4 linked regions of the Saccharomyces cerevisiae S288C genome follow. Changing the gene in region 2 together with the main gene of any one other region gives a genetic interaction. Each region holds a gene or a part of one and is shown on either strand. Other genes may lie near its edges. The genes, in order: SLX1, RMI1, RNH202 and MMS4.

The links.
Region 1: mutations in RMI1 (region 2) and SLX1 are lethal when combined (synthetic lethality), as found in Saccharomyces cerevisiae (4 studies listed by BioGRID, with this or other methods).
Region 3: mutations in RMI1 (region 2) and RNH202 together harm fitness more than expected from each alone (negative genetic interaction), as found in Saccharomyces cerevisiae (4 studies listed by BioGRID, with this or other methods).
Region 4: mutations in RMI1 (region 2) and MMS4 are lethal when combined (synthetic lethality), as found in Saccharomyces cerevisiae (7 studies listed by BioGRID, with this or other methods).

What each region holds. Positions count from the first base shown.
Region 1 is NC_001134.8:673,196-676,727, reverse strand, and holds SLX1 (endonuclease), read right to left. Parts: upstream 1,416-3,532; coding exon 501-1,415; downstream 1-500. Other genes in the region: glucan 1,3-alpha-glucosidase ROT2, read left to right, coding at 1-371; MCX1 (Mcx1p), read left to right, coding at 1,594-3,156; YBR225W (uncharacterized protein), read right to left, coding at 3,399-3,532. UniProt on the Saccharomyces cerevisiae protein: Catalytic subunit of the SLX1-SLX4 structure-specific endonuclease that resolves DNA secondary structures generated during DNA repair and recombination.
Region 2 is NC_001148.4:501,611-505,082, forward strand, and holds RMI1 (Rmi1p), read left to right. Parts: upstream 1-1,906; coding exon 1,907-2,632; downstream 2,633-3,472. Other genes in the region: putative serine/threonine protein kinase SKS1, read right to left, coding at 1-573; methylenetetrahydrofolate reductase (NAD(P)H) MET12, read right to left, coding at 2,729-3,472. UniProt on the Saccharomyces cerevisiae protein: Structure-specific DNA-binding protein with a preference for cruciform structures. Also binds single-stranded DNA (ssDNA). Functions together with SGS1 and TOP3 to maintain genome integrity. Essential for proper meiotic cell division.
Region 3 is NC_001136.10:1,017,273-1,021,008, reverse strand, and holds RNH202 (Rnh202p), read right to left. Parts: upstream 1,642-3,736; coding exon 589-1,641; downstream 1-588. Other genes in the region: exosome non-catalytic core subunit RRP45, read right to left, coding at 1-262. UniProt on the Saccharomyces cerevisiae protein: Non catalytic subunit of RNase H2, an endonuclease that specifically degrades the RNA of RNA:DNA hybrids. Participates in DNA replication, possibly by mediating the removal of lagging-strand Okazaki fragment RNA primers during DNA replication.
Region 4 is NC_001134.8:439,802-444,608, reverse strand, and holds MMS4 (Mms4p), read right to left. Parts: upstream 3,095-4,807; coding exon 1,019-3,094; downstream 1-1,018. Other genes in the region: Hsp70 nucleotide exchange factor FES1, read left to right, coding at 1-788; ubiquitin-binding serine/threonine protein kinase VPS15, read right to left, coding at 3,294-4,807. UniProt on the Saccharomyces cerevisiae protein: Interacts with MUS81 to form a DNA structure-specific endonuclease with substrate preference for branched DNA structures with a 5'-end at the branch nick.

The sequences.
Region 1 (3,532 bases), on a different chromosome or scaffold from region 2:
CCCCTGATACCGAGGGACGAGCCGTTGGAGATCTTTATGTTGATGATGGAGAAACTTTTGGCTACCAAAGAGGTGAGTACGTAGAAACTCAGTTCATTTTCGAAAACAATACCTTAAAAAATGTTCGAAGTCATATTCCCGAGAATTTGACAGGCATTCACCACAATACTTTGAGGAATACCAATATTGAAAAAATCATTATCGCAAAGAATAATTTACAACACAACATAACGTTGAAAGACAGTATTAAAGTCAAAAAAAATGGCGAAGAAAGTTCATTGCCGACTAGATCGTCATATGAGAATGATAATAAGATCACCATTCTTAACCTATCGCTTGACATAACTGAAGATTGGGAAGTTATTTTTTGAGGGAAAAAAACGAAGTGATATCTTTACATCTTTTTAGCTCTTTCTTACAAAGTAAACGTAAAAATATCCGTAAATATAACATATAACCATTATCTATAGAAAAAAAAGAACCGAAAATTGTGTCAGGCCCTACTTCCCGTGAGCTAACTTCATTCTTGTCGAAAACTTGACTAGGGTCGTCCAGTCGCAAAACATATCACATTTCGGACATTTCCCACCTCGAGGTATCAAATTTCTTCTCCCTACCATCAACTGTTCATCATCTAGAAAGTACCTGTGAAGACATTTCAAGTGGTTAACACACCCACAGTCTTTATTATTGCAAAGCGCTACAAACGGCTTCAGATTTTGCTCTTCAGACGTGTAGTCAATTTCTTTCTCACAAATTTCACATCGCACTACCCCTGTAGTTAGTTTCTTTTCGAAAGTTTCGAATATGTTTCTTTCATTTTCAATGACTTTAGTGTATACAGCTTCCACCACTTTTAAATTCTCATCACTATGATCCATGAGAACATCCACAGTTTTCTCCTTTGGTTCTTCAAGCGCATTTTCATTTATTTGTATATTAATCGGAAATCTGTCTCTTTCAATAAAAAATTTGTCCTGTTTCCAAACCTCCCAAGCCTTTATATTAAAAACCTCGACTATCAAGTTCATCCTTTGAAAAAATTCATGCTTTAAAAGTAACTTCATTAATGCAACTTTGTGATGTAAAGTTCTTCCACCTGCTTTATGCTTTACAACACGATCTTTTTCGGCAATATAATGCGTTTGGTACCCATGTTGCCATGCATGTTCAAACTGTAAAGCTGCTATCTTACTTGGGAAGCCCCGCACAATCATTATCATTTCCCAGGGCCTTGAACCGTCACGTTTGGTTCGATATGCCCCTCCAACAGCCAATTTCCCATTATGCTGCCTCAAACGTCGTACTGGGTTAGGAGTTGATCCAACGTAAAATGATTGCCTCTTGTTAATCGATTGTAGTAGATAACAACAATAAAAATCAGGAAACTGATGCTGCTGTATTTTCTGCGACATGGTACCTTTCTTATCTTTTTAATATTTTTTGAAAAAAGAGAACATTAATTTGACAATATTTTTTCGATGATAGAAGGGAATAAGTCATCAGTGGTATATATTAAAATTAAAAAGAAAAGCAAACGGCTCATCAAACAAAACCATAGAAGACAAGGCACTCTAATTACATTTCACACTCATGTTGAAATCTGCAAGCCAAAACTTTTTTAGAGCTTATTCTAGTAGAATTGGTCGATATGCTGCTACAGCATCAGGGAAACTGGCACAGTCTCGTTTATCGAATATACCCACTCCAAAAGCATTGAAGAAATTCCTCGATGAGTACATTGTTGGTCAAGAGATTGGTAAGAAGGTTTTAAGCGTGGCAGTTTATAATCACTATTTAAGAATCAATGACAAGCAAAAGAAAGGGGAATTACAAAGGCAGAGAGAATTGATGGAACGAGAGAAAATCGCGGATGATAGGGATGAACCAATTTTCAGTGGAAACAGCGAATCAAAGGCTGGTTGGAGGAATCTTCAAAGACAGTTTAATTTAGCAGGTAGAGAGGTTGACGAAGATTTAGAGTTAAGCAAAAGTAATGTCCTTGTCGTTGGTCCCTCAGGTTCTGGTAAGACTTTGTTGGCAACAACATTGGCGAAAATATTAAACGTTCCAATTGCAATTACAGATTGTACACAATTGACTCAAGCAGGTTACATAGGTGAAGATGTTGAAGTATGCATTGAAAGATTGCTCGTAAATGCTGAATTTGATGTTGCGAGAGCAGAAAAAGGTATTATTGTTCTTGATGAGATTGATAAACTAGCCAAGCCTGCCGCAAGCATTGGCACTAAAGACGTGTCCGGAGAAGGGGTTCAACAGTCATTATTGAAAATCATTGAGGGCCATAAAGTGGAAATTACCGTTAAAAGGCCTGTTAAGCATGATATTGACGGACAAAAAAATCAAACTACAACAAAGAAGGACGAAGTATTTGTTGTAGACACTTCAAATATTCTTTTCATGATTATGGGAGCTTTTGTTGGTTTAGATAAGCATATTGTTAAAAGGATAGAAGATATGAAGAAAATACAGAAGGCAGGAGAGTCTGTTGAATCATCGAATAGTAAAGAAGTTGAAAAAGAAAGAGCGAAGAAGTTCAGATTTAGCAATACGCTTGAGCAGGTTGAATTAGATAACGGAAAAAAAGTGTGTGCTTTAGACTTGACCACCCCCACAGATTTAGTTAGCTTTGGTCTAATTCCTGAATTAATTGGCAGAGTCCCAATTATAACTGCTCTGCAGCCTCTACAAAGAGACGATTTATTTCATATATTAAAAGAACCTAAAAATGCCTTATTGGATCAATATGAATATATTTTTAAGCAATTTGGGGTAAGATTGTGTGTTACACAAAAGGCGCTAAAGAAAGTTGCTCAATTTGCTCTCAAGGAAGGAACTGGCGCCAGAGGGTTGAGAGGGATAATGGAAAGACTTCTGCTAAACGTTAATTATGATTGCCCGGGTTCTAACATAGCATACGTTTTAATCGACGAAGCTACTGTCGACTCGTTACAGGAAACAGAGCACTCTTTGGCTTCCCAAGTGGACGTAAAATACTATTCTGGTGATGAAAAGGACAGTTTAATTCGTGACGTTTCTGAAGAAGATAAAAAATTAGGAGTTATGCTAGAAAAAGAGTTGGGTCATTCTGCTAACATTCATACCCCAACAATTCCCAAGAGAAGCTTAACATAAAAAAAAATGAATGGTATAGAATATATAAATATAGATGTAATAAATGTAGTAAATGAACAAATAATCTTCCTACAAAGTACTATGCCATGGGAAGTAAAAAAAATTAATAAATATTGGCTAAAGTGTTTCAAATTGGTTCTACGATACTGGGAGACTACTCCTTATCATAATGCTTTTTGTCCAGTAGTAAAAATTGAAGTAATTCTTGAACAATTTAAAAAAAAATTGGAACGGCGGCACAATTATTTGGTATATGGCAGCTTTGGCTTTTGCGCCACCACATACAAAGTTCTAAAGCAGCCAGCGTTGTCATCGATTTTTCCTATGTGTTCTTCCACATATCTTTTGAAAAGAGTGGTGGGGTCGGTATCCTTTG
Region 2 (3,472 bases):
ATTTTCAGGTTTGATATCACAATGATATATACCGAGACGATGACAGTGATCTAATGCGGAGCAAAGCTGCAGAAAAACTTTCTTAATCAAAATACCATGATTTACAAAATGCTTATCGTCAACTATCGAGGTGAAAAGGTCCCTGTCGTAATAATCCATCACTATAAAAGTGGCAATAGAAGATTCTAAAACTTGGTGAATCTTCACGATATTGCCGTGAGACTGCACTCTTAGTTGGAAGGCAATCTCCCTGTAGTGTGGTAGCCTATTTAGTTCATTCTCAGTCAACTGTAATATCGAGTCTAGATCAACGGAAGGTAAGAACAATTTTTTTTGGAAACTTTTGAAAAAATGATACAGTTGCGTTTGCAGAAGAGTGGTTCGCGCCACTTGAGAGTTGTTGTTCAAACCGTTCTTATTATAAAACTCATCCATCGAGGAGGATTTGAAGACCGTTTTCACTGCATATTCACGGCTCGTCAGTATATCCACCACATGGAACACTAGTCCATACGCACCCGACCCTATTTGAGCCGTTATTCTGAAATTGTTCAGCAAGCAGTCTGACAGCATTTGTACACAAAATTTCTTGTCTGTGTTCTTATTTGATGTTTTCTTTTAAAGAGTTTTGTTTCCGCTAGGGCGATTTAAGTCAATAAGTAAATTTAACAATTTACTAAATATATTTTGTATAATATATAAGAATATACGCCTTAAGAATGTCCTCTCATGCGAAAAAGGTAGCAAGAGCATAAAAAGGAAAAAGAAAACGCTATAGTCATTTGTAGGCTCTTGTCTTTCTTCGTCTTCGTCCCGTGAGTGCGGACTCAGAAAACACCGCAATGATGTGGGTCCGGAATATCTATTGCACAGTTTTAGTAGGGTCACCGATATCGTTAAGGTTTGTGGTAGGAACAGAAGGTACTGCCGGCCCTGTATACTGCCCTTTTGTTCCGACCATTTCTTTTTTGCATTTGTCCCAAGATTCTCTCTCCCCACAAAATCTGCTCAAGTATCTGTCCAACGCGCTTTCTTCGGCTGATAGATAAGTTCCGATTTCGTGGGAAGCAAAAAAAAAAAAAAAAAGAAAAAAAGAGTCTGTCCGAGAAATGTCCCGGAAAACGTGGGTGTGCGGTGAGGAGATTGTACTTCCATCCCACATTCCTCGTGTTTGATTGGCTGCAAGCCACTTGATGCCTAGAAAAGAAACACCGCGTGGTGCATCTATGTCCATATCACGCGCGCTAAAACAGCATGTAGAGAGCGCGAGGGCGGCGTACTGCACCATTCTAATAGGAAATCCGGGATGAATGCCCTCTCCGGAAATACCTCCACTAAGCCTCAATGGAAAGTTGTTCCGCTCACGCGAACAGGTTTTTCCGGGGAGTCGAGAACTACAGTGACGTAAATACGACGACATCGCTAGAGCCAGCAGAAGCCTCCATACATTCAGACTAATTAGTTGACGGGCTTGAGCCAACTAGACATATTATGTAGGCACATATGCTCCAACCAATACATATGTGTACATAGAGTACAGCTCTTCCCAGCGCATCCGCTATCGTCCTCTTGACAGGTCCGGCTATTTATTATCCGCGGCATCCGCGGCCCAGCGCACAATAATAGATTACTTTGCAATGCAAGCGGTCTTGGCTGTTTGCTCTGAGGGTCCATCTTCGTTTATTTCTTTATTTACTAAATTAATTATGATACTGCACTCAGGACGGGCCAAGAAAGCATGTAGCGTGAAGAGAAACTAATTATTAAGAAAAAAGAAAAAAAAAAAAAAAAAAAAAAAGAAAAGGAAAAAGGAAAAAGATAAACCAATCATACAATCTTTACAGAAAGGGAGTACTGAGAAGAAGGCCAAAATACTGCAGAGCATACATACTACCGAGTGGATGGAATGTCTTTTTCATCTATCTTATCACAGGATATCACAGATGACATTACACCACCAGCGTATTCCGCCACCTTGGGGTCGAGAGAACAGATTGTTTTCAGAGCTTACCAAAATGAACCTTGGTTGGCTGGTACTGCTTCGAATCTTATCTTAGATAAAAAACTTGTTATTGTAGACAGAGAACTGTTGTTCCAGGTGTTGATGGTAGAGAATATCACCAAATCCAAGCTAACACAGATCGATGATATAAAAACCAAGCTGGATCCGAAAAAACAGAAAGTGGATAGACTACGATCAGGCGCGCAAGGAAATGGCGCTAAGAAGTACGAGGTCATCACTCAAGTGGACATGGAAGATGACGGGAATGTGGCGGATAACAACTGCGCCAAGGAAAATAATAGCAACAATAATAGCAGTGCCGCCAAGAATAAAGCAGTGTTTAAATTGACACTACAAAGTAAGTCGGGCGACGTTTTTTTTGCTATCAACTCGACTCCAATATCTTGGAGCTCTTGCATGCTGGGTTCTAAAATTGTGATACTGCCGGGAACTGTGTTCAATAGGGGCGTTTTCATATTGAAGGACTCACAAGTCATTTTTCTCGGCGGCATTAATAGAGTTTGGAATGAAAATAGAGATCAGAAATTTTGTGATTATTTGGAATCTAAATTACAACGTGACAAACAACTTGTAAATGGCGGCTCCAAGAAAAGGAAAGCCAATGATTAGCATATGCCTCTTCTTCTTAGAAGGGCGTTCTGCCCGTTATGTATACGTTAAATATTACATTATTTTCGCATTTTTGTATTTATATTCAGTGAAATATTAGGCTTGGTCGAGTAACATTTCCCATAGCTCGTCGGTTTCTTTGAAGTCGTGATGAACAATTGAGACAAGACAGTAGTCTTTATGCACTAGTCTTAGAAGAATATTGGCTGGGGTGTTCCTTGGAAATAACTTGGCCCACTCGGACCAGATACTAAACGCTTCATCTCTCCATGCCTTGAATGACTCTTCTTCAATGATTGTAGTCTGTTTGACCGGACTGTTGGGAAAAACACCCCATGTTACAACGCTAGAGCTGTGCGGGTCTAGGTTCGTTTCAAATGAACCAGATGAATCGCCCGCGTAATAACTGAATTTCCGACGCCCGTAATGGTCTAGCTTGGGTTTCAAAGTTGTTTCCCATTGCTGTCTATGAATAAACATTTCTACGAATGCCTTCTGATACAACCTCCCTTTCGCGGGCCCCCAGCCGAATATTTTATCACTACTCAATGTAGCATTTGTGGCAGGTTGCGATGCCAAAGTCAAATATCCGCGATAGTTTAGTTGGATTAGTTCTTCTTGTATTAACGCCGTTTCAGCTGATAAACCCAGGTCAGACCAGGGAATCGCATCCGTTGAACCTTCCAAATATTTTATAAAAATATCTTTTAAATCGCCAATTGTCTTTGGTATACCCCATAGTTCAAGCGCTTTGCTTTTGCTTACCTTGATGGATGGCCCATAACCGTCTATTTCACCATATGCGGGAGACCTGGAGTCACCAAATCTACCATTGGGGAA
Region 3 (3,736 bases), on a different chromosome or scaffold from region 2:
CAGCCATAGGAGATATTTCTGTAGATATTACAAATAATCCTTCAAATGGCCTGTCTTCGTATGGTTGTGCTATTTGACAACTAATCCTGCAGTGAACTTTGGTGTTGCCCATTTTTACGCTAACATCACCAAATTCTTTACCAAACGTTATTTCCACGTCACGAAATTGATCAAAGGAGCGGCCGTCCAACCTATAATTCTGTCTCAGTGCTTCTAAGATAAATTTTGACTCGGATGCGGATATCTCAATGTCTTTGGCCATTTGTCTTTTAATCTAATGTATATTCTGAACAATTTTGCAATCACTACGTCCTGTTGATTAATGTATCGAGACTGAAAGTTAGGAAGTTAGAAAAAAAACTTGAAAGTTGGTAAGGTAAATACAATCTAGCAACCGTTTCCTATTCCTTTATATTCAGACATTTGTTAACATCATCGAGGGAAAAGTTGTTAATTTTTTCTTGAATTCGAGAAAGGAAAAAAAAGGTAGCCCATTCGTTGGTAGTGACAATATTGTGTAATTATCTCGCACTGAGGTCATCACCACCGAGTTATAGCATTCAAATTGCTGTTTAATTATGATACTAGCTACTTACGTTTAAAAAATCCATCAATGGCCCCTTTTCCTATGGCTACTTTTGGTTTTTTATTTTGAACTATTTTTTTGGTAACTTTTTTCACTGGCAATGAAACCCTGCCATTCGAATTTAGGCCTACATTCATGGCACTTTTCATCAGTAATTCTCTTTCAGCATTCTGTAATTCGTTCGTAGTCTCGTAGTTTTCGAGTTCTATGAAGCTAGCTTTTATATCCGGATTTAGGCAACCACTATCCATTGTAGGTGAAAAGGTAAGTAAATTATGGTAGGCCGCCCTTGGAATCAGGGAAACTAAAAGATTTGTAGCCATAACTACCTTGTAGCACTGTTTTATTTCCGTTGGGGCATTTTTAAGTGTAGGGATACTTGGAGGAAAGTTTTCTACAATTTTTGATACCTTGCCTAACAAAAATTGTGTTATCATTGCAGATGTGATCTTGTAATAGACGTCACCAGCTTCCTCAATGGTTTCACTAACTTTTGCTAAGCCACTCTTGAGACGACTTAAAGAAATGTTTTCCCAATTCTTGTCATGGTTATCCGTTAAGAAATCATGGTAATCACGCACCGTAAGAAATTTCTCATTGGTTTTGCTGTTGCTTTTTTGGTTTTCACCAGTATCACTTGAATTGGAGTAATCTTGTTCATCTGCTGAAACACTGTTTCTATAGTAAAATCCAATCAAACTAAAAGCAATATCGTATAAAGAACAAAAGTGTATTTTGCTTGAGTTAAAAACATAACCATCGGTGGGATCAGACGTATTTACAATGAAAGTTGATTTGATCGGGTGATTTTCCTTAGTATAGTGATATTTATCATTTGCCAAATCTTCCTCATGTGAATACGAGGGCCCTTTGCCGAATTGAAAAGATCTTATTTCGTAAAGTTTTCCATTAATATTTTCGAAGAGCTCGATACGAGGTTTGGATGTAATATTGGAAGGTGGCGGCAGTGTAAAAGTGTTTATAGTTTTCGAAGTTTCATAATCGTCTGGTAAAATTATTAGTCGTTCTTCCCCCCCAATGTTGGAAACGGTCATGCTTTTTGTTCGAGAGGCCAGAAAAGAAAGTCAACTATTGCGACAGAATAAGATTAAATTTGTACTCGATTTGTTTCTGCTGTTGTACCAGAATCATTAACCAGATCTGACTTTAATTCTCATCGCGCTCGTGCTTTTGACAAACTTGTGAGAATGGAGTCTGTAGTGCCTTAAAAGGAAAAAAACGCGTTGTGGTTATGAATATGAGATTTCATAATCCAACTATGGCATCGACAACATTGAAAAGATAATGAGCTGGAAGTTGCTCCATTTTTTACCTTTTGAAATTTCTTCTTATATGTATATGCTCACTTTACTGACTAGTAAAATGTCGTGAAAATTTTTAGAGTTCCATTTTGGCTCAAGACAATGGCGCTACGAAGAAACGCCATACTTAAATTCCCCTCATGAACTTAGAAATTCACGAAAGAAGCTGAATCTTTACAGAATAAATTTGTAGAAGAATTTTTCTGTTCTTTTATGCTTTATTCGTTGCTGCTGTTGATAATCAGCGATAGCTGAATTTATTGAATAGAGAGGCCGGGAAACTTCGTGCTACTGTAGAACTGAGATATAGAATACATCACAACTGGATGTATTAGACAAGTTTAATTTACTAGGAAAAAAAAGCTCAGAAACTTACAATTCTAATTAATGACTAGAATTTCATATATGAATCCTAATTCAACGTGAAATTGGTGGACTTTTCAACTTGTCACACTCAAGTAGCTCATTGTTTCTTTCTCTGCTCTTAAAAATGACAATGCCACGCAAACATACGTGTGTTAAATAATGATATCAGCGCCAGATGTCACTGAATGTCAATACTTTAGTTATATCTGCAACGGTATGAGAAATAGGCGAATTTTAAGAGAACTGTTCGTATTCTATCGTTGCTAAAGGCTACAGTATCTGGTATACAAGATATATTAGAAGTTTTTCTCGAGAATTTAAGAATCCACAAAACCAAATTTGTTGGAGCGAATCGTAATTAACAGTGTTGATAGTTAGTAGTTAGGTTGTAGTATTGATTAAGAATAAAAGCAGATATTCTTATTCTAAAAGAAAGAGATATAAAATACACTCCGACTGGACATATTAAACCTTGCCGATATAGCAATGATGAGAGTAATTCTTATGGTTAATGTCACGAGATGAATTGTTATATTGCAAGCATCAGATTAATCATTCAGGTAATAGATCATTGAGTTTACTGTACCCAGATTATTATGTAGCTACGTATCATTCTCCAGTCTGAAACATTAAAGACGCATTGCACATCTGATTACTTCATTTGATTACTAATCGACTATTCATGAAGAATAATAAGTCAATATTCTCACGAATAGTAACTTGAGTTACTATAGTAACAATTTAAGTGTCTCTACTGTATATTAATGCAAACCCTACATACTTTTAAGTCCCTGTTGGACAGGGAAATGTTAAACGAGGAACTCAAACAGTATAATAGCTGAGTTAAAGATCCATTAATTGGAAATACTGCTATAGTCGAATGTACGAATAATAGTAGTCGCCAATTTAAATGTATAGTAACTGCTAGACCCACTATTATGTTCATGTTTAATAAGAACAACTGGCCTGTATTTTCTATATTCCTCTTATATAGCATGAGGAGATTTGCTTTTATTCCAAACTAATACTACATCCTGACCACTGATTATTAATAACACCAGTTTTCATATTACTAATACATTATCATACATGATGCAAAAATACTTTATAAACGGCGAAAAACATTTATCAAATTTAACAGAATCTGAAAATGCAGAGACTGATAATTAATAAAATAAAAACGGTGATTTTTTAAATGAAAGAGGGAATAATGATATCATTATGTGGAATGATCTGCTCCTTTTTGTATTTCCAACAATTTCAGTAAAGTCGTATCTTTCCTACCTAATAATATTGCCATAACAAATAATTTAGCCCCTAAATAGTCATAAGAGAACTCATTGAGAGTCAAAGAAAATCATATTCCCTAACAGAACCTTGATTTGCGACCGAATAATTGGCTTTCTTCATTACATAATGAACGTTTCTTTTAGGTCAAACTATCACCAAGGTACAATCCGAT
Region 4 (4,807 bases), on a different chromosome or scaffold from region 2:
TGCTACAGCAGTTATTCGGTGGTGGTGGTCCTGACGATCCAACCTTAATGAAAGAATCCATGGCTGTTATTATGAATCCGGAGGTTGACTTAGAAACAAAACTCGTTGCATTTGACAACTTTGAAATGTTGATTGAGAACTTAGATAATGCTAATAATATCGAAAATTTAAAACTGTGGGAGCCATTGTTGGATGTTCTTGTTCAGACGAAGGATGAAGAACTACGTGCTGCTGCTTTATCCATTATTGGAACGGCTGTGCAAAACAACTTGGATTCGCAAAATAATTTCATGAAATACGACAATGGTCTGCGAAGCCTTATCGAAATAGCTAGTGACAAGACAAAGCCACTCGACGTGAGAACAAAAGCTTTTTACGCACTATCTAATCTAATAAGAAACCACAAAGATATCTCAGAAAAGTTTTTCAAATTAAATGGGCTCGACTGCATAGCACCTGTATTAAGTGATAACACCGCCAAACCAAAACTGAAAATGAGAGCCATTGCCTTATTGACCGCATATTTGTCATCTGTTAAGATTGATGAAAATATAATCAGTGTGCTGAGAAAGGATGGAGTAATTGAAAGTACGATTGAGTGCTTGTCTGACGAGAGTAACTTGAACATCATAGATAGAGTTCTGTCTTTTCTCTCTCACCTGATATCTTCCGGAATAAAATTTAATGAACAGGAATTGCACAAATTGAACGAAGGTTACAAACATATCGAGCCTCTAAAGGACAGACTTAATGAAGACGATTATTTAGCCGTAAAGTATGTATTATGATTACGTCCGTAGAAATAAAATGATATTACATTCACCATTTCATATTATCTTTAACCGGAATCTCGAACATTTATTATTAACACTGTTTTATTTTATTACGAATATTTATCAATAGTACTTTCTGTAAAATGGAATTCATTAAAAAGGTAAGGAGGGGGAAATAGAGCTGCAGTGATTTTCAAAACGACTGCCTTAAGGTATGTTCTTATATACAAAGTTTCGTTCGATCATCATTCAATAGTATCATTTGGATCAGTACAAGTAAACAGTTTGTACAATCTTTTTTCTACTGCCTCAGTCATCAAGTATTTACCTTCGTTGTCTGATTGCAGTCTTCCCTTTTCAATATCTTCAAGTAATGATTGAAAACTGGGGTATAGGCTCACGACATTATTCGCCTTCATTTCAGGCATTCTCCCTATCTGATGAAAGGTTTTCTTTAGCGTTTCTGTACTATCCTGAGCGGATTTTACATTCAAATGAGCATATTTCATATACCGAATTGCGGGATCCATGCGCTGTTTTCCAATTAATGACACTAGGTTCGGCAGAGAATTAATAAACTCCATATGTGAATTTACAGTATGTATTTTGACATGCCATTCTCTATCAATGAAGCGCAATCGTTGCTCTAAATCAAATTTTTTTATCCCTAATTTTCCAACTTGGCTTGATTTTTTACTTCTCGGTCTTAAAGCTTCTTCTGTTCCTGACAATCGTTGTTCTACCCTAGCTTTGTACTTTTCATTTTCTAATTGGAAAATAGCTCTTTTGAGTTTATTTATATCGCTTAGTATAAGAATCACATGTTTTCCATTCTTTGAGAAAAATCGTATCTTCCTATATAATTCTTTCTTTTGTGAAGTGTATTGTTCAAAAAATTCTTGCGCATCATAATATAGAATCAAAACGTTTTCTTCAACTATTTTGGGATCACAGGGGTAATAGAAATCGTTACTAAAGTCGTAAATACTGTCACATTTTCGAAGAAATCTTAAAAGCGGCATAGAATCGTTATAGCTTGATTGCACAACTGCTGGTGCCAATTGTTGTTGCAGATCACTGTCTCCTTTTTTAAATAACTGGAGAAGGCTAGGCGAAAACTCTATAATCATTTGAGAGCGTGCTTTTATATTATCTCGATATATCTGGTTAACTCGCTTAAAAGCATTTTTGTTTTCTTTTAACAAGTGTCGTATTTTGTTTTTTGAGTCTTCTCTAGTATAGTATTGCCCATAGGCAATATAATTCTCTAGTTGTGATACCTCTCTGGCAGTATTTTTAGTACATTTGGGATCCTCAGCCGTTAATGTTTTCGAGCGTTTTGCTTCCTGAAAACAATTAGCGTTGCTAAAGATTGGTTGACTACCTGTCCTTACTATGTTAGACCCCTTTGCAGGGGTTGAAAGTACATCAGTAGTAATACTATCTGAGGAATCGAGAAATTTAGAAAGATTTAGTTCTACTGTATCAGGTAGTTTGGTGCTGTTGATTAGTGTTCTTGATAACGCTATGGTTCTCTTCTTTCCTTTCGGAAGGTGTTCTTGCTCGTCTTCACCTTTATTGTATACCCTTTTTGCCATGGATGTCCCATCTTCACCATGATTTTGTTTTCCTGCTGGTTTCAGGCTATTATCTGGTGAAGAATTTTCATTAGCAATCGAATTGTGCTTTTCTTCAGTTGGGTTCTCATGTTTTACTGGAGACAGTGGAAAATCGAACAGTATATCAGCTGCTCCTATCTGTGATTTCGGACTATCACTAATGTCACTATTGGTTTTTCCGATTCCTTGTGTCTTATATTCGCAGTCAACAGCAATAGGCTCTGGATTTTTTAAAGACTGTACTCCCCATTTCTCTGCGATGTCCCTCAAATTGTATTGTGATTTGTTGTGCTTCTTTCCACTCGACTCAAGATCAGCTGACCATTCATCACTTATTAGATCATCCAAAAGTTTTTTCGCGTTTCCTTTTGCATTATTCTCATTTCTGAGAGACGAATCTATGATGGAATTTACTGTTGTAGAAAAGTCATCTAGCTTGCTTATACTGATATCTTGGAAGAACGGCGCAGAAAGTTCGATAGATTTGTTTAGGTCAACATTCTCAACATCATTCGAAACAGATTTTCTTTGCGGTGATGATGGAATCATCTCTGCAGAGCTTACATGTGCCCTTTTGCACTCATCTTGATCCATTGATTCCGAGAGAGCGATAATTTCAACATTTGAGGGTCCATCGATGATCTGAATACTGGCATCGTTTCTTGAATCTTTGTCCTCAACAAAATCAACGATCTGGCTCATTTAACTAGCTGCAATATGTGACTACTATTATTCTATACCATAATCCATACATTGTTCTTTATTTACGTATACAACCATTTTTTTCGTGAAAAGGGTACTTCAACGCGTTGCAAGCCCTTTCCTAAATGATCGAAAATGTTTAAGGTGAATACAAATTTATACGCATTTAGAATAAAGAAGCTGAATAAAATAAAAAAAATTATTGGAAGATTCCAATAAGCCCTGAGTTATCACAAGCAACCAGCAAAGGTGTCTCATCAACTTCACATGTAGATATAGAATTTATAATATCATGATGATATAGAGAATCATCTACTGAATGAGTGCTAGTACGTTTCATTTTTCTCAATAACATTGTGAGATTTGCCGTAACTTGTGTAGGAATAAAAACGTCACTGAATCTTGAAGGACTTATTACTGCTTTAGAAGAAGAAAGCTCATTTAGGCTAAACATAACAATGGAACTTGTTGCTTCATCGGTAAGAAGAATTTTATCATTAGATACTGAGATAGTGCTTAGTGCGTTTAAAGACCTGATTCCACAAAAATTTAATTCTTCTAAGCCTTTCTCAATTGGTAAAAAGTGCTCCATAGATGGCTGTTCATCAGAATTTATGAAAGCATACTGACAATGCCCCTTAACAAAATTCCATATTGTTAGAAATGTTTTTGAACTACCTCCTACAACAATTACAGAATTCTTTCCATAAAACTGACAAACCTCCACATGCGTGATTGGTGCGTGGTCCCCAAAGGACCAACTCCTTATCAGCACGTTGAAACGGATATCCCATATATCAATAATACCTCTAGTCGTCCCCAAAATTAGGACACAACACTCTTCATCGATACAGATGCTTGAAACGGCACCATGCCTTGGAGAATTCTCTATAATTTGTAACCTCTCCAGGGTTCTAATATCAAATATAATAACCCTTGACAAATTCGTCAATGCTACTAGTAGAGATTTTTCCTCATTCACAAATGCTCTCATTCTCACTGCGTATTCATTTTTACCAAAATTCTTCAAGTTAATTTTCCTGATGCATTCGCAATTCAAAAATTTGACTTCACTTTCTTGTTGGTAATGATTAACCTTTAATACAATTATTTGTCCATCTTTACTGGAAACGGCAAACGCGTCAAAGTTAGGAATCATGGTTATCTGAGTTACGGTAGAGGAGCAGTCATAAGTTAAAGAAGAAGAGTAAACCTCGCCCACGATAATCTCTTTCAGGTTCCAAATCTTGATTACACCTTGATCTGAACCTGTTATTAAATAGGGTGTTTCTCCTGGAGAAACAGCAGAAGACGTAATAGAATTGGGTTCGTTTTCCATCAAAGTAGCTATCAACTTGCCCCTCAAATTACCCATGTTTGGACTCCGTACAATCTCTTGAATAGGCCCAAACTCCTTATAATCTCTCAGAGGAGGTAAAATTTTGAAAGTCGATAGGAATTTTTCTATGCTTTCAACGTCGCCTTCATAGCTGTTGCTGACGACTACCTTCCTTTCTGGTTTAACATTTGCATTATCTTTCAAGCCATGATTTGGAGAATGCATGTGATAGGACGTTGGTTCTAACTGAACAAAAACGTTCTTCAAATTAGAAGTAGTAGTGGCAATGGACTTATTTTTGAATATTAGTGATCCATTTATGTCCATGACGGTAGATAGCTGTTTGCTACCGTTAATATTTAGCTTATTGCTAT